2 linked regions of the Caenorhabditis elegans genome follow. The protein of the gene in region 2 purifies or fractionates together with the protein of the main gene of each other region. This does not show direct contact. Each region holds a gene or a part of one and is shown on either strand. Other genes may lie near its edges. The genes, in order: R03H10.2 and zhp-1.

Region 1 (9,309 bases), on a different chromosome or scaffold from region 2:
CACACACACCGCAGCTGTAGGCGACCTTCTGCGGAAGGCGAGATGGGGCGCTCAACCGTTTACGAGAAGACATGTCTTCAGGTCTTCTACTGCTACGGTCCAATGGTATGGGAGAGAGTTGTCCTTGACTAGGTGGTGGATGGAGATCATATCGCATTTCAAAGAGACGCAGGCGTAAAGAGTGAACAGTATACCGCCTGGCTTCTCAATTGCAGATCATCGACACAGTGCCCCCTTCTCGGGGGAATGGTTTGTATGGGTGTGTGGGTGTGTGGCCCCAATTTGAATATCCTCTTACTCATTTTGTTGGCGTTTTCGTTTCTTACTTGCGACCGTTTTAAAAGTTATTTTTTGGACAACAAACATTATTTTTCTGCAAAAGTGCATGCCTAGGCTTTTACCGGCTTAAGCATGGGCCTAGGTTTAGGCTCAGGCTTAGGCTTAGGTTTAGGCTTATGCTTAGGCTTAGATTCAAGCTTAGGCTTAGATTCAAGCTTAGGCTTACGCTTACGCTTATGCCAAAGTTTCTGCTTTTGCCAAGGTTTCGGTTCAGGCTTATGCTCAAGCTCTTCCCGTGGTATGTGTTCAAGTTTAAACTTTCTCAGAATTATTGGAATTCACCAAGCTCTAGATTTGAATCTATTCCAGCTTAAAATTGGTCCAGGCGGAACTCGCATCAATTCAAGCCCTTTTCTTTTTGATCTTCGAAATAATTCTAAAATTAGAATTTGAATATTTTTCTACCCAACAAATATACCTAGTTAAGGTTACCTTATATGTTGACCACGTTTGCCGATTTCAATTGTTTCTCTCAGGGTGTCATAAATCAAGCAGTCACCCTTTATGTCCTTGCCACTGTTATTTCCTACCCCCCACCAACTGGTACAAACCATTTCGAAAAGTTTTATTTAGCTGCCTATTTCAGATTAATACCCTAAAAATTAAAATTTTGTGCGCTTATCTATGCAGAGCAACGCTAAAAACAGGAAGAACCCAGATAATTTCGATCGCAATCTTTTTTGCGAATTTTCTCACATTTTTCTTCTAATTTTTGCTGTTCCTACCTAATTAACCGTATTAATTTCTAATTTTCAAACAATCTTCGATATTTATCTCACACATTTACTATTCACCGATGAGAATCTCAAGAATCATCACAACGTTCGTCCCGTCGGCGAGGCTATGGCTTGGTTGAAAAATGAAAGTCTCCAGTTGTCCTGTCAATTCGTTTCGAATTATCCACCTCCTCCGGAGGAGAAGAAGGAGAATGAAATTAAGTGATGGGGTAGGCTGCTGGTGACTAGGGAGATGCAGAAAGGGGGGGGGGGGGGTCACTTTTATTGTCTACCCCGTCCGGTCATCCGTCTTTATACCTGTCTCATGATGACTCATTTTTGAAATTCAAACGAGGTAGACTCGGCAGTTAGGCACTTTTTAAGCGAACACCTGAGATTGAAACTAAGCGTAAGCCGAAGCGTAAGCGTAATCGTAAGCGTAAGTCTAAGCGTAGGCCTAAGTTTAAGCCTAAGTCTAAGATTAAGCGTAAGCCTAAGCCTTAGCCTCATTCTAAGCCTCAGCCTAAAGCTAAGTCTAAGCCTAAGCCTATGCCTAAACCTAAGCCTAAGCCTAAGCCTAAGTCCAAACCTAAGCCTTAACCGCATGTATGTAGTTGTTCCAAAATTGTTTAACTTCATTGCAGCTAATTTTCCTGAACACCTTCCTCATTAGTTGACCTATTTTCAGCCAATTACAGTTTGAAAGTTCTTTTTAAATTTGAAATCCTCTAATTCCCTTTCCCCCCTAAATGACCTTTAATACCCATAGAGTCTCCTGTCCTTTGGTGGCCACTTTTCCAACCCGATTACCTCTAATTTCCCACTCTCTCCTTCTATGTCTCTTTTTCTGGTTACCAAGGGACCACAGACTACTAACACACCTTTCTACCGCTTTTATCCCGAACGGGAGGGGGCACTATGCATTAATTATACTTACGAAGGTCGCAGACTTTTATCTTCGTTTGTTTTCGATTTTGCATACTTTTGTGTGTTTATTGATTTTTTTTTTCGTGTGAAATTTGAAATCTTTTATTGTCGGCGGAGCGAATTTGCATTAATGTTTTTGTTAAATTAGGTAAGAAGAAGACATTTTATATTAAAAATTTATAAAAGCTATCGATTTTCTATAATATTGGTGTAACATTTTAGGGTGTTTTAGCGGAAAGCCAAAAATTTCTGAATTTTCTTTTTAATTGTTGACTTTTTCAAACATTATTTGTATTTTACATACCAATTTTGTTTAAGAATTTAAAAAAAAAATAATAATTCAAATATGACGAAAAAACATTATCCGGACGTTAAGTTTGCTATTTTTGAGAAAAAAACAATAAACGACAAATTTTCTCAAATTCGGAAAACTATGCGTCTTTACAGAGTACTATAATTTTACCCTAAATAAATTCTGCAGTGTTTTTTTCTATTTAATTTACATAGATTTCTCACATTTTTTTCAAAAAAATAAATAAGTGCACAAAACTGAAAATTGATGAAAATTCCAAAAAGATAAATTACAGTACTCTTTAAAGACGCACACTTTTTGGCATTTAACTAACATTAGTCGTATCGAGGCCGGGTATCACATTTTTGGCGGAAAATTGCAAAATTAATTAAAATTTTGCAATTTTGCGTCTGAGTAATATATTTACAAGATGGTGGAGTTGTTTAATACTTGAGTTTTTCTAAATTCAAAAATTTCAGAGATTTTTGTGAAACTTTTTTTCTATTTTTTGGGTTAAGGCAATTTTCTATTTTCTATGTTTCAGTTTTCCGGTGTACCCCTCCACCTTATTCCTAGTGACCTTACTTGTCTCGGGTCCTTCATTACCTTCCCTTTTCGTCTTCTAAACGCATCTCACAAAAGTTAAGTGTTGACTCATTTCTCTCCCTCAAAAACCTTACATGTTCCTTTTTCGGAATGCCTCACACAACAAACCAGCGATGCATTTCCGAACACACATATGTCCACCCATAAAAGTGCGATAAGTAGATTTTGACTGTATATTCCCTGCAGGTGGTCTCTTTCTCTCTCTCTCTTCTTTCTGTCGGTTAGTACCAGAAGCCTGTCTCCCGTTTTGTCATATTCTTCTCTTTTCCTGATGCTTCTTCTCCACTACTACCACCTGTCTTCTTCTTCCCTTCCATTCCGTTCGTTTTCCTATTATCGTATTAGTATATACTAATATGCGTTTGACGTTGGAAACCTGAAGTAGATTCTCTCCGGAAGATAGATTACCACATTTTCACTAGTCGGTTGTTGGATTTATGAAGCTGTTAACACATACTTTTTATTAGCTGGACAGTTCAGGAATGGATTTGGCTTGGGCTTAGGCTTAGGTTTAAGCTTAGGCTTGGGTTTAGGCTTGGGTTTAGGCTTAGGCTTCGGCTTGAACTTAGGCTTAGGCTTAGACTTAGGCTTATGGTGAAGCTTAGGCTTAGGCTTAGGCTTAGGCTTACGCTTACGCTTAGGCTTACGCTTAGGCTTACGCTTAGGCTTACGCTTAGGCTTAGGCTTATCCTTAGGCTTAGGATTAGGCTTAAGCTTAGGCTTCGGCTTCGGCTTCGGCTTAGAGTTAGGCTTAGGCTAGGCTTAGACTTAGGCTTGTTCTCTAAATTTTTAATGTTTTTTTTGTTGCAAAGACTATAGTTTTTTAACAACTTCATGACGCATTTTATTTAAGCTTGTAAACTTCTAGGCTTATAGATTTTAATGTAAAATTTCGGGAATTGGAAATTTCGATATTGAATAAAAAAATTTCCAAACAACGTTTGCAACATTTTTCTTTAGAAAAAAAATTGTTTTTTTCTTTTTTATTTTCACATTGTCTTTTGTTCCTTAAGTTTTTATTCCAACTTTGCTAAAAGTATTTACAGTTAATTTTCAAAATTATCTGCAGAAATGGATTTCGATTTCGATTCGGAGCCAAAAACGCCTCCTCAACTACCCCCTGCTCCACCGATTCGGACAGTGTCGAATAACCCAAAAGTCACGTTTAAAGGCGCACAGACTTGGAGAGAATCTGTCGGAATGTTTTTGGTTATGGCACTGGCATTGGCAGTGGCGGTTAGTTTTTCAAATTTTCCCCAAAAAATTTAAGTTCAAAATCCGACCGCGGTCACACTTGGCCGGAATCCATCTGCTATCTTTAGTGAACCGGATATGAGAAAAAGTTTGTTTCGAAAAAGGAAAAAAAAGAAGATTATATGCACATGAATACTGCTTCACATTTTTGCAAAAAGAAATATGTTGTGTGCTTATTTTCAAACTTTTTTGGGATTGGAACTTTCCGGTACACTGAGCTTTAAACCGAATTATTAATAGGATTAAAATAAGCTGGGAAGGGGGTTCCGGGAAGATTATAAATTTTTTTTTTGGTTTAACTGGAAAAAGATTATTACTAATGAGATACTAGGTATACAAATAAATAAATAACAAAAATGCACGAAACCTTGTGAAAACTGCAAAACGAAATTTCGAAAAGACAAAATTGAAGAGTGAATTTTTGAAGCATGAGTCTACAGATATTAAGCCAAAGAGCTGAGCCTGAAAGACTCAACTTGAAGGCCTACATTTGAAGGCCTACGCCTGATAGCCTGGATGGGATGTGTCGAAAAGCCCTTGGGATTAAGTCGAAAGACTTAATCCCAAGGGCCTTGGCCTAGGGTCCTAAGCAAAAAAGCCCAAGCCTTAGCCTGAAGGTATAAGCCCAAACGTTTCGGATTCCCAAAATACTTCCTGACTCATAACTCAATTTTAGAACCAAATCTGACTGAATCACAAAATGTTTCGGGAACTCAAAAGAATCTATGACCTGATTACTCGGTTATTCTTAATAAACACCCTCTGCAGCTGTAAATACATTATGAATAGGTGCTAGTTAGATAGATCAAAAGTTTTTGTTAGATCAAAAAGTGAAGAGGAAGTCAGAAAAGTTGGGTTCGAATAGTGATATGGTCTATTAGAGAAATAATTGAATCTTTGAATCTGTGAGTCTGTGTCGGAAAAATATGTTAACTACAAACTAGGATTTTCTCCTTTTCGTAGTGAAAAATATAGTTTAGAAAAAGCTAGCTTAGTGGTAGTCCTAAACCTGAGACTCGGTTTAGGCCTACTCCTGAGCCTAGAACTAGGCATAAGCAGGTGTCTAAGCCTAAATACATATCTGAAGACCATACTTAGGTTAGAAGCTTAAGTGCCAGCTCTTGCAACCTTGAAATGCTTAACATCTACTAACCGAAGTTGTGAATCCTGATGGCCTAGCTCAAAGCCTAAACCTAGAGCTAGCCTTAAGCCTAGCCCTTAGTCCTAGGTTAATGCCTAGTCTTGGGCCTAAATCTAGTCCTAGGCCCAAACATGGCTATAGACCTAAACCTGACCATAAGCCTATGGCCAACGCATAAGTCTAGCCCTAGTCTAGCCAGTCCTGTTCCTAAAATTTCTGAAATCTGAAAAAATCTGAAACTTTTCGGTACTCTCGCTTCTTTGTTATGAATTTTTCATCTTGTTGTTCACTTTTAAGCATCTGAAATTATCTGAAAACCCTGAAAATCCCTAGAAAAAACAAGACACTTTTGATATATAAAAATGTAATTTATTACTTTTTTTGGAAGCTTTAATGTCAATTTTGGTTCAATATATACAAAGAAAGTAAGGGTTTCTAGAGTCTACAACAATTCAAAAAACAATGAAGAAAAAACAACAAAATAACATTTAAAAAACAAAACCGGAAAAAAATAGTAGTTCGAATGTGGAGAGACCCGTGAAGGCGGCTTGTGTAGATTTTTGTACAGATATTTAGAACAGTTAGGGCTCATAGAGGAGCTTTCCAAGAAGCTTAATAAAATGCAGATACACATCTGCGGAACCCACGTCGCTTCTCCTCGATAGTCCTCTGGATTGCAGCCTTGACTGCTGGGGAGCGGTGAGCATCGACGTTGGTGAGAATGTCTTGATTGATGTGGAACATTTTGTAGAGAATTTAGAAATTAGAGCAATTGAAGAATTTGAAAAACTCAAGAGATTAGAGTATTATCAGTGTGTTCTCTTGCTCTTGCTTATATAGGCACCCGTGTGCTCTGGTGATAATTGGCTCCGCCCCGCGTTATCCATCCAACCGAGCATGGTCATGAGGCGAGAGACGGGTGAACAAGAAGAAGTCAGAAGAAGATGAATAGAGAGGAGTCATAGGAGCTAATTAATCAGCAAGATTTTTTGGAGGGGAAAAGGGTACCACGAGGTTTCTCGAGCAAAGCTTGCTTGAGAAGGGGTACTGTAAGGGAGCAGAACTTTTGATGTTTCTAGAAATGGGAAAACGTTTTTTTGAAAAAAATCAAAGCTCAGCTTTGGATGAGGTGTATGCCAAAAGTCTTGAACCAAGCTTAAGCCTAATAGTAACCGTGAAGAAAGAAGCCTGAGACTAAATCTAAAGGCCCTAGTTTAAAGGCCTAAGTTTGAGCTTCAGCGTAAGCCTAAGACTAAGCCTAAGCCTCAACTCAAGCCTAAACATATGCCCAAGCCTAAGACTGAGCCTAAATCCCAAGCCTATGCATAATTCTAAGCCTAAGCCTAAACGTCAAGGGTTTGCCCAACGTTCTAAGCCCAAGAACTCGGCCTCATTTTCTTCCGAATTTGTAGTTTTTGATACCTTTTTTTCTGAATTCTCGTCAAACCTTCCAAAATTTCAAAGCCTACAATTTCCAAATTACTCTGTTTTGACCAACATAATTGCCGGCTGAAAGATCAAATTGAAACTTTTTATTCCAGAAAAAATCGGGTTTCCTGCAAAAGCCCGAGCCAATTTGTGCGCAGTTTTGCCCTATAATTTTCTCTAATTTCATGAGAATCTCGTTTACTTGAACTTTGAAAATTAATGGCTGGTGTTTGAAATTTTCATACCCCAGAAGATTCTCTTGACTGGACAGGAGGAAGAAAAGAAATATTCCAAAACATTTTAAGATTCACTTGACTTATTTTCAGTCTGAAAAACTTGAAATCCTGTTCCGCTTGGCTCGATTTTTTATCCATCTGATTTTTCGGTTTTAAAAAAGAGTCACGTAGTGGCTTACAGACCTTTTTGAACAAATTTTGAAAATTTTCAGCCAAATTTTTAAGGGATAATGCACAAAGTTTCTGATATCCGGAACGTTCGGAACAGGCATAATTAATCGCTTCTAGACGACTTGTTGTTGAGCGGAAATTTGATAATGTCTGGGGGTAATCACGGGAAAATTGTAAAAATTGTAATGGATCAAAGAACATAAAACATAATGGTCTCAGTTAGAGAAAAATATTCTGTGAAAAATTTTAAAAGGCATGTAGGAAAGCAGGCAGGCAAAAAACCCAAAGTTGCCGAATTCCAAAAACTCATTCATCAACTTTTTTTTTGTTTTTTGATTACCAACATATTAACCCAATTACTCACATAAATCCTATCAATTTCACACATCATTTTCCATTCAAAAAATTCAAAATTCTTTCTCCAGACAAAGCGAAAATCCTCAGCATTTTCACCGGGGGCCCCCTATTATCGGATTAGGCAATTTTAATCCAATAAAAGTTTCGGAACTCCCTCAATAAAATAATGGAAACCCAACAAAAAATGATGAATTTTAAGATTTTAGAAATGATGGGCAAAAGCTCTATGACTAAGAACATTTGGCAAGAAAACTAGAGTTTTATGTTTCTAGTTTGATTTTTTTTTTTTGAAGATTTAAGTGCAAATAATGTGTCATGACAGGGGGTGAGCTGGCTGGAAAACATATTAACGAATGATTGTTTGAACTCACTGAGGAAATAAAGCAGATAAAGAAGCGGGTTTAAAAAACAGTTTTTAGTTAAGCAGACGACATTAAGCGGTTCCGTCTGTCCAACAGCCCGGAAGATGTCGGGCGCTGAAAAGGAACAGGAAATTACAAGCGTCCGACGCATACCGGGTCCCACCCTGCAAATGTCAGACGCTGTTACGCTTATTGGATTTTCGTAATTTTGTCAAGTTTAGAGACTACTTTTTGGTTGATAAACGTTCTAAAAATTTTGAAAATTTGTTTTACAGCGCCCGACGTCTCACGGGTTCTATAGGGAACCCGAAAATTGTCGGGTGCTTCACACGTTTCTTCAGCTTATCCTTTTTGAAATAGCTGAGGTTAACCGGGTCATTTTTATCACCAGACATCTTGTAGGACAAATGTTTTTTAATTCGAATTTTGAGCCTCCGTAGTTTTTCAACTTTAGAGCTATTCTTTGCAGTTCTCAAATTCCCAGTTTCGTAGTGGGACCCAACCTAAAAATTGAAATTTGCAGATCTCAAGCCTGGTGCTCCTTTGTTACGTGTGGAAGGACAAGCAAGTGTACGATCATATTGTGGATTTCCTCGACAAAACGATACAAATCTCGAAAATCGCTGAACGTCCGTTCCTAGGAGTATATCAGTTGTCTGAAAAAGAGCTTGAAGTGCTTGGAAACGAGAGAACTGTAAGTTTTAGTATTGGTTCATAGACCCTTTTTGAAACACTCTAGTTAAAAAATTGCCGAAGATCTCTCTGAAATTGTAGGTAGACCGCACTGGCCAAAATGATGTGAATTTGTATTTCAAAAAAACCAAAAAGTTATTTGTAGCTGGCGTTTTTTTTTTCAATTGAATTTGCATAATCAACTTATAACATTTCTTGTACTACATATTTTTAAATAGGATTTTTTTGAATTTTCAAAAATGTGAGGGGATTTCCCCTCAACTATCTGCAAGTTCCAACATGAACTCATTGTTTCTGACCCCCATCTCTTATGTGATTTTTTACATTCAAAATAAAAAATGAACAACAAAATCGAAGTTCAAAAGATCCTTGATCCAACACCAGAAAGTTTTTTGTATTGCTCTTTACCCCGCAACAACAAAATGATGAACTCAAATGTATATGGGATTAACTAGAAATAGACAAAAAAAGTAGAAAAGTAATCGGTTTTTGGTGGCTTTCTCCGAGAACCCACGCAGAGTAGGCGCCATAGATTAAAAGTTCTGGAAGCAATTTTCGGTTTTATTTGGAACTGGAAAAAATTAACTAAACGAGACCTACTAAATATTGGTCTTTTTTGGCAACTCCCAGAAAAGAATTCAGAGACAGAGGAGCTTTTAAGAAAATTTCATGTTTCGAAAAACAAATGATATTTCTTTTCGAAGTTTTTTTCTGAACATTTCCAAAAGAGTCCTTCTTCTCAGTTGGCTTTTGAGATTTATAGCTGGGATGCCCGGCAAATTTGCCG
Region 2 (7,668 bases):
CGAAATCGCCTACAAACTCATGGTTTGCAACAGCATTTGAAGCGAAACCAATGATTTGCGGATTAAGATGTCCTTTATTGTCCATCATGAACTTCGTTCCAGCCGGTGGGGCAGAAACACCAACTCCGATGATCAATTGTTCGTCGGTCATGCTTTTTTTGGAATCCGAAACGGTGTAGTTGAGGCCACCTAACTTCAGGTTGGTTTTGTTGATGATGTTCTCCAAAGTCAATCTCTTTCCATCCTTGACAACAGCATTGGCTTTGGAGATTTTCATATCCTGGATAGTCATCCTCGATTTCTGTTCCAATGCTTTGTACCGCTCTGAAATTTTTCAATGGAAAGTGAACACTTAAGGAACGAAAACAACTTACTGTGGAGATGAGTGATTGCGTCATCAGTGATCACCAAGACATATTTGCAACCGCTCGCAGCTACTTTCTCCAGCTGATCCATGATTTTATCCGTATGGAAAAGGCCCGTTTCACATGGTGGCTTGATCGTCATACCTTTCTTCTTTCAAGAATCAACGAACATTCCGGCAAGTTGACTAAATAATTTAATCGATTCAAATAAATTTCTATCAATCTTACTTCACGTCACCACTGGAGAATCTGCATCCTTGATTACCAACAGCGTAAAGAGCCCATAACTCTGGAACCTTCGCGGGTTTTACAAACCATCCTGGAGGTGCACGCCACTTTCCCATTTCCGACATTACCGATCTCTGGTATACGAGCTCTTTTCCGTCGAGCTCACGCGCTTCAACCTGGAGAAAGAAAATCAATGTTTTTTAACGATTTGCACAAACTGACCATCAGAGGCTCCGAGTAAACTTTGATTCCGAGAGCGACGAGCAACTCATTCTCGAGTGAAATGTTGACAGCATTTTTACCGGTAATGATTATTCTCTGACGAACATCAGGAAGAACCGCGCACTCCTTCGTTGTCTTTTGAGATTGATTGCCAGTTTGCTGAGGAATGGTCACACGTTGATTTCTTGAAATGGTCATCAGTTCAGCCGGGAAGTAATTGTTGTTGCCTCGATCCTTACAAACCACCAAATTGGCGTTCGGATATTGTAGAGTGATCTTGTATTTGTCCGCATAATACTCGGCGATTGAGCACGTTTTTCCATCGGGCAACTCGAACCTGGTCTTTGAGGCACTTTCGTGAAAGATCCCTTCGATTCTTAGATGGCGCTTTCTGTTTGTATACGTCGAATAGCAATCAAGTCCTTTCATCACTGCCGCGGCTTTCTCACGGGCCATATTATTGATTCCATTTGAAGGATCTTGTCCCGTGATTTCGTACAGTTTTTGGATCACAGTTTGTTCTTTGTGGAACGCAGCTTTCATTCCATCAATCACGACAGATGGATTGTTCTGTCCACGACCATAAGGACCTTCGATGAATTGAATTGCCTTTTTGAGACCGGGATAAAGCTGTTTTCCATCGCCGACGTCGACACAGTCTCGCTGATCAAATCCTTCCTCGGTGGCGTTGAGGAAATATACCTTTCCGTGCTCGAAGCATCCGAAACGTTTTCTAGAATGAAGAAATGTTTTTCAAGACTTTCCTAAATTCACTTACGTTTCTCTCACGCAATGTTGATTCAAAGCAAGTTCCAAGAATTGAGTGTATTCCCGATTGTTCACTTCAATGTTTTGATCAGCAGTACGCTTGCTCAGATTTTCAGCAGAGAGCGTGATCGAGTTGTTTCGTGGGGCATAAATCTCGAGAGAGATGCAAGGCAACGTCTTAAGGTCGTCATTGTTGATATCAGCTCCGTTGATTTGGAAGACTTTGGACTTCGTACCGTTGGCATCCAGTTCTGAGAACAAGTTGACAGTTGTGTAGAGAGTTGATTGGCCGTCATAAACAATCTGATTTCCGTCCTTCATTTTGAAGAATTCAGGATTTTTCTCCACGGCATGGAAAAATAAGTTGCAGCATTTATCGCGACGGTCAAGAACGACGAAATCTTCTTTCCCTTTTTTGGTGAACGTCACTTCCTTACTAGGGAATGGTGTTACCCCTGCAATCGCTAGGAGGACAAAACAAAGTGAAAATGGAAGATCAGATCTATGGCTACAAGAATCAGTTTTTGAAATCTGCTTAACTCGGTCCCAAAGCTGAAATTTTCGGTCTTAAAAAGTAGTCCTTTTTTGCTCAAAATGCCGTTTTTCGTGTGTAGAAGTGGCTACATAAAAGTTTGGCACTGCAGCCGCCGTTCGAATGGCCGATTGGTGAACTCTTATGCTCATTAATCTAAAGGTCACGGGTTCGTTCCCCACTAGGTATTAATTTTTTTTTGAATTTTTCCTCTAGCATGAAATATGCACAAAAACACGGTTTCTTCCGTTTTTTGGTAACTTCGGAATAAATTTTTTGGTTCCTGGGAACCATAAAAGTAATTTGGAAACTTTTTGGAAGTTTTCTTTTTTTGATAAATTTTCACTTTGAAGAAACCGTGTTTTTGTGCATATTTCATGCTAGAGGAAAAATTCAAAAAAAAATTAATACCTAGTGGGGAACGAACCCGTGACCTTTAGATTAATGAGCACAAGAGTTCACCAATCGGCCATTCGAACGGCGGCTGCAGTGCCAAACTTTTATGTAGCCACTTCTACACACGAAAAACGGCATTTTGAGCAAAAAAAGGACTACTTTTTAAGACCGAAAATTTCAGCTTTGGGACCGAGTTAAGCAGATTCCAAAAACTGATTCTTGTAGCCATAGATCTGATCTTCCATTTTCACTTTGTTTTGTCCTCCTAGCGATTGCAGGGGTAACACCATTCCCTAGTTAGTTGGAGTCAAATTGGCCTTTGCGTGAACCATAAAACGGTGGACAGTGGTTTCCTTTGTCACTTTAACTCCGAAGATATTAGTTTGAATATCCACTTTTCTACCCAATTGTCCAGGTTCGGCTGGCTTCATGTACATTTTCGCGCCATTCTCAACCTGCAAATAGGACATTAGAAATATTTTTAAATGCACAGAGATATACTTTTAACTGTTGCAAACGTTTGATGCATGCGTCGTTGCCAGTGATTTGATGAAGCTTTTGAGCATCGGCGGGAACTGGAGGCATTGGAGGCATAGTTCCTGGTGGAGCAGTGACTGGTGGCATTGGAGGCATCGGTGGATGCGGTTGTGGTGGATGAGGAGACATCTTATTACTATTGCAATATTAGATCTGAAAAAAAAATATGAAGAGGGGCCAAGATTATCCACATGTCATTTACTACAGAGGATAACACGCTGTGAAAAACAAACGAAAAAGATAACAGATGCGAAGCGTCCAGAGAAAATCTAGGAGAAAATGAAAGTTGTACGGAAAAAATACAGTTTCGAGGTGTCTCGGCATTAAACATTGTAGGGTGGATTTGGATGAATGATGAAGAAAGAATAATTTATTTTTTGGCGGCTAGATCAAATGGAGATCATTTTTCTATCTCTAAAACAAGTCTAACATTTATCAAAATCCTACTTTTTAGTTAATATTACAGATTTTCTAACTATATTCATTAAATTTGAGATAAGACTAATATGAAAATTGCTGAAAATTATCGAAAAACTGTCACAAACAGACGAAGAAACCGGAAAAGTGAATGCCAGCAATGCCAACGCAATACCGTACTTGAAAATGGCGATCGGTGCGGGACCCACGCGTTGTTTGTTCGAAAGCTCCTTTAAATTTGTGTTTTTTTAAAAAGCAATTCGTGCTTTTCTCCCGGGAGAGCTCCCTGTATTCTATGATGTTTTAGAAGTTTAATCGTTCCAAACATGGTTCAAAAATAACAATTTGCATTTATTTCAGAACTGTAGGCACTATGGAGTTCATCGTTTGCAATGGATGTGGATGCTCGCCAAGTAAAAGACAATTTTTTATCACCGCCTGCTCCCACGTCTTCTGTGAAACATGCCGAACAACTCCCACTGCTGACTTTTGTCATTTGTGTAAAATCCCGACAAAAACTCTCAAAATGGATGCAAGTCTGCCGAAGAATGTGAAGAAAATGTTCGGCGATGTGGGTGTGATGAGTACGGATATTCACAAACGCCTCGCTCGAGTTATTGGCTTTCAAAAAATTCAGAAGTCAATTCAATTGAAAATGGAAAACAAAAAAGTAACACTCTTTTTTTAAGTTTCCAGAATTAAAACGCTTTATTTCAGTCAGTTATGCGAAAAGAACAAACCAAGAAAGTTGAGAAAAAGACGGAGGAAATGCACTGTCAATTGTCGAAGCTAACAAGTTTTGAGGAAAATAATCGTAAGAAGCTTGAAGATATTGAACGCGAGAACGAGAAGCTTCGGAATTTGTATGTATTCCCTGATCGAAATTTAATCTAAATATTGATTTCTATTTTAGAATCAGTGCTCTCGAACTGAAAGTTGCCAGTTCTCGTGATATCGATGATGACGAGTTTTTCATGCAAGGTACTCCAACTTCTTCAAATCCTTCCGTTGCTGGTTCAGATGTAGATAATGACGAATTGCTCGATTATGTATGCTGATATCATTGATTTTTCTGTTCCTAAAGTTGCTTTTTCAGGATCTTCTAGGATTGAGGAATCGATCTGATTCATCATCATCCAACTGCTCGTCTCAATCGAATCGTGGAGGATCTCTGTTTTAACATAATCTGTAATATAGATGACCATAGTTTTATTTTTCAGCTATAAACATAAAAATGCTTGATTTATCTTCTTCCCACATATCCAGAGCAAAACGTGACACCATCAATTGGATGAAAGGGGATCGAAAAAATTACAAAATCAATTAAAATTTTATTTTCAAACAAACAACAAAAATAAAAACGATATGATTTGAAAAAAAACTAAATCTAGGACTAGATAAATCAAGCGACACGTTCATTTTCCGGTGCTTCTGGAATCGCCCCGTTGACGAGCGGAATCTTTCGTAGAAAATCGAGAATCTTCTGCTTAAGTGAGGATGATGTTTGCGCTTCAGCAACAAGACGACGTGCCAAATCGGAGTCCAGTTCAAGAGTGTTGAACATTCGTTCACGACCCCAGAGCATCGCGTACATTGAACCAAAACTGACGATCATTTGAATGGCAGCACACATGGCAATTACAGGACGAGCGGGTTTGGAGCCTGAAAAATTAAGAGTAGAATAAATTGCATTTATATTTTACATTCGATATACCTTCCCATCCTAGAGTCAAGAACTCTAATAAATTATTGACAACTGGCATTGCTCTAGAACTTCCTCCTGTATTCGCTTCCCTATTGATCAGAACATAATGTGCCAAATATGGAGTTGCAAGCATCGGAAGAGCAATTCCTGTTAATAATCCAATAGCAATACTATTAATGACAAGACACGATGGACATGGTGTAAGCTCATTGTAGACTTTAGGTGTTACAAGAACCTGAAATTATTGCGTTACTGTATGTTTGAAATACGGAAAAAAGAAACCTGATGAAGCATGAAATATGTAACACCAGAGGAATAAACTCCAAATACAAATGGAGATTTCGGACACTTTCGGATTGATTCAAAGAATTTAGCTTTCGCATCATAAAGGAACATTTCAGAGTTGATCCGAGTGGCTGAAAATCAAAATTATCGTCAGAAATTTTGAAGTTTTTCTAAAAATACAAACCAATAAGTGAAGAAGTGACACAATTAGCTACTAAACCAGCGTGAACTGGCCATGTTAATGCTCTTCGCTCATCTCGAAATGGCCATGTTGATGAGAGGCGACTCATCAAATGAGCTTGATCAGCTGAAGACATTGAAGATAGATTCTGCCATAGTGTTGAACGATTTGATGGATCTGTTGAGGCATCTCTGAAGTAAATAGTTGAAAATTTTTTTTTTTTTCGACTTTTTGAAAAAATAATTTGGCTGAAATTGATTTATTTCACAAAAGAATTGATTTCTAAACTGTAATTTTTTTTTAAATGAGAACATCAGAAAACATACGGTATCCGGTCTCGACACGAGCAATTTTTCAAATGTATGCGCGCCTTCAAAGACTACTGTAGTTTCCAACTCCTCGTTTTTGCGCGTTTTACTTCAGTTTTTCAAATAAAAAATTTTCAAAAAAAATTTGGAATGGGAGAGAAACAATGAAAATCTAGGAGAGCTCTGCAAAAATTGACAGTTCGAGACTACAGTACCCCTTAAAGGTGTTTTTGCATGTTTAAAAAATATCCTTGAGGGTCTCAGAAACTGAAAATAAATTGATTTTTTGTTGGATTAAAAGATTTTTGTTTTTTTTTTGCATTTTTTCACCTCGCCGCTGCCACCAATCCTCTATTGACGGCATGTGATTCCAATTTTGCAAAATTTTCCGAATTCTGCCATAATGATAGAAATTGCGGACTATTCTGCTCATTTTCTTTGCTCATCTGAAATATTTTCAAGTTCTGATGCTGAAAATGTTTATTCAAATATTGAAAAAGCGACTTAAAACCAAAAGAAAGCAAAGAAAATCAAAGTTTTAAGTTGGAAAATCTTTTTATTTCGTCTGTAAAACATCGATGAGAAGAAAGCCGGGGTGGTTGGAGAGGGGATTTGAAAAATTGAAAAATAATAAATTACAAAAAAGTTCGAGGCAAAGATAAGAGGGAAGAGATAAAAAAATTAAATTAGATACATTAGTTTTTGTAGCATAAATAATTTTAAATTATAAAATTTTATTGCGGGTGGATACTAATCGGCGAGGGGGACAAATCAATCACAATTTCGTGGAGAGAAGGAGGGTCGGGTCTTGACTGGAAAATTCCGAATGTTGGAAAGTTGAAACTAAAGCCAAATTTGAATTTGGAAGCGGAAAAATAGTGAAAAAAAGAAACAAAAAATTTATATTATTTCACAACTCGATGAGAAAAGGGCACAATCGTTTTGAAAGGAACATTGGCAGATTTTGGTTGAAACTGAAGACTATGTCGGAAGAAGAAGAATGAACGGCAATGGTGGATGCAATAGAACTATAATCGAGTCTGAAAATTTTTGAGATATTTTAATGGTTAGAGAGTTATAGACAAGAAAGGCAGGCAAGAGACGCAGACAGATAAGCACAATGGTACTGTAGGACCTCACACGGAGACTAGATGGAAACTAGATGACTAGACATCTAAATATTTTTCTTGTTTGCAAAATTTTATTTTGAAGAATTTTCGTAAAACTATCTGAAATATTTGCAAGATTGCAACATCTAAAAAGAAGAAAAATTACCAAAATTTAAAGGTATTTTTTTGAAATATCTCAAAATTGAAAAAAAAATTACAAAAATCGAATTTTCTCATTTTAGAGATTTTTTACTTACTTTTCTCAATTTGGACTATTCTGAGCTTTTTAAGAGACACACTTTTCGATAATAACTAGACGTTGACACAACAAATATTACAAGCCGAACTTGCTCAGAGACAAACATAATGTTAGGATCCGTTGGGAAAGAATACCTAAATGGAAAGATGGAAAGACCAGAAGAAGAAGAAGAAGATGAAGAAGAAGCATCTTTCTTCAAGCGACAGGTGTGTCACCACTCACAATTTCCTCTGCTTCTTCCTGTTCTTCGGGCACTTTTTCGTCGGTTGGTTTTGACTGCGCGAATAATCGTTCTACCTGCAAAATAATTTCATTTTTAAGATTTAAAGTTTTATTTAATTATGTAAACCTTCTTC

What was found.
Region 1: the proteins of zhp-1 (region 2) and R03H10.2 fractionate together in Caenorhabditis elegans (co-fractionation; one large-scale study listed by BioGRID). This does not show direct contact.

Annotation. Positions count from the first base shown.
Region 1 is NC_003280.10:4,151,824-4,161,132, forward strand, and holds the start of R03H10.2 (uncharacterized protein), read left to right. Parts: upstream 1-3,949; 5' UTR 3,950-3,951; coding exon 3,952-4,116; intron 4,117-8,352; coding exon 8,353-8,523; intron 8,524-9,309.
Region 2 is NC_003279.8:5,363,987-5,371,654, reverse strand, and holds zhp-1 (Zip homologous protein 1), read left to right. Parts: upstream 1-3,825; 5' UTR 3,826-3,838; coding exon 3,839-4,135; intron 4,136-4,182; coding exon 4,183-4,328; intron 4,329-4,378; coding exon 4,379-4,514; intron 4,515-4,561; coding exon 4,562-4,645; 3' UTR 4,646-4,707; downstream 4,708-7,668. Other genes in the region: F55A12.2 (uncharacterized protein), read right to left, coding at 4,868-5,127, 5,180-5,405, 5,453-5,586, 5,640-5,827, 6,275-6,390; ppk-1 (PIPK domain-containing protein), read right to left, coding at 7,508-7,609, 7,662-7,668. UniProt on the Caenorhabditis elegans protein: Recruited co-dependently with zhp-2 to the synaptonemal complex between homologous chromosome pairs to regulate the formation and number of crossover events between homologs during meiotic recombination.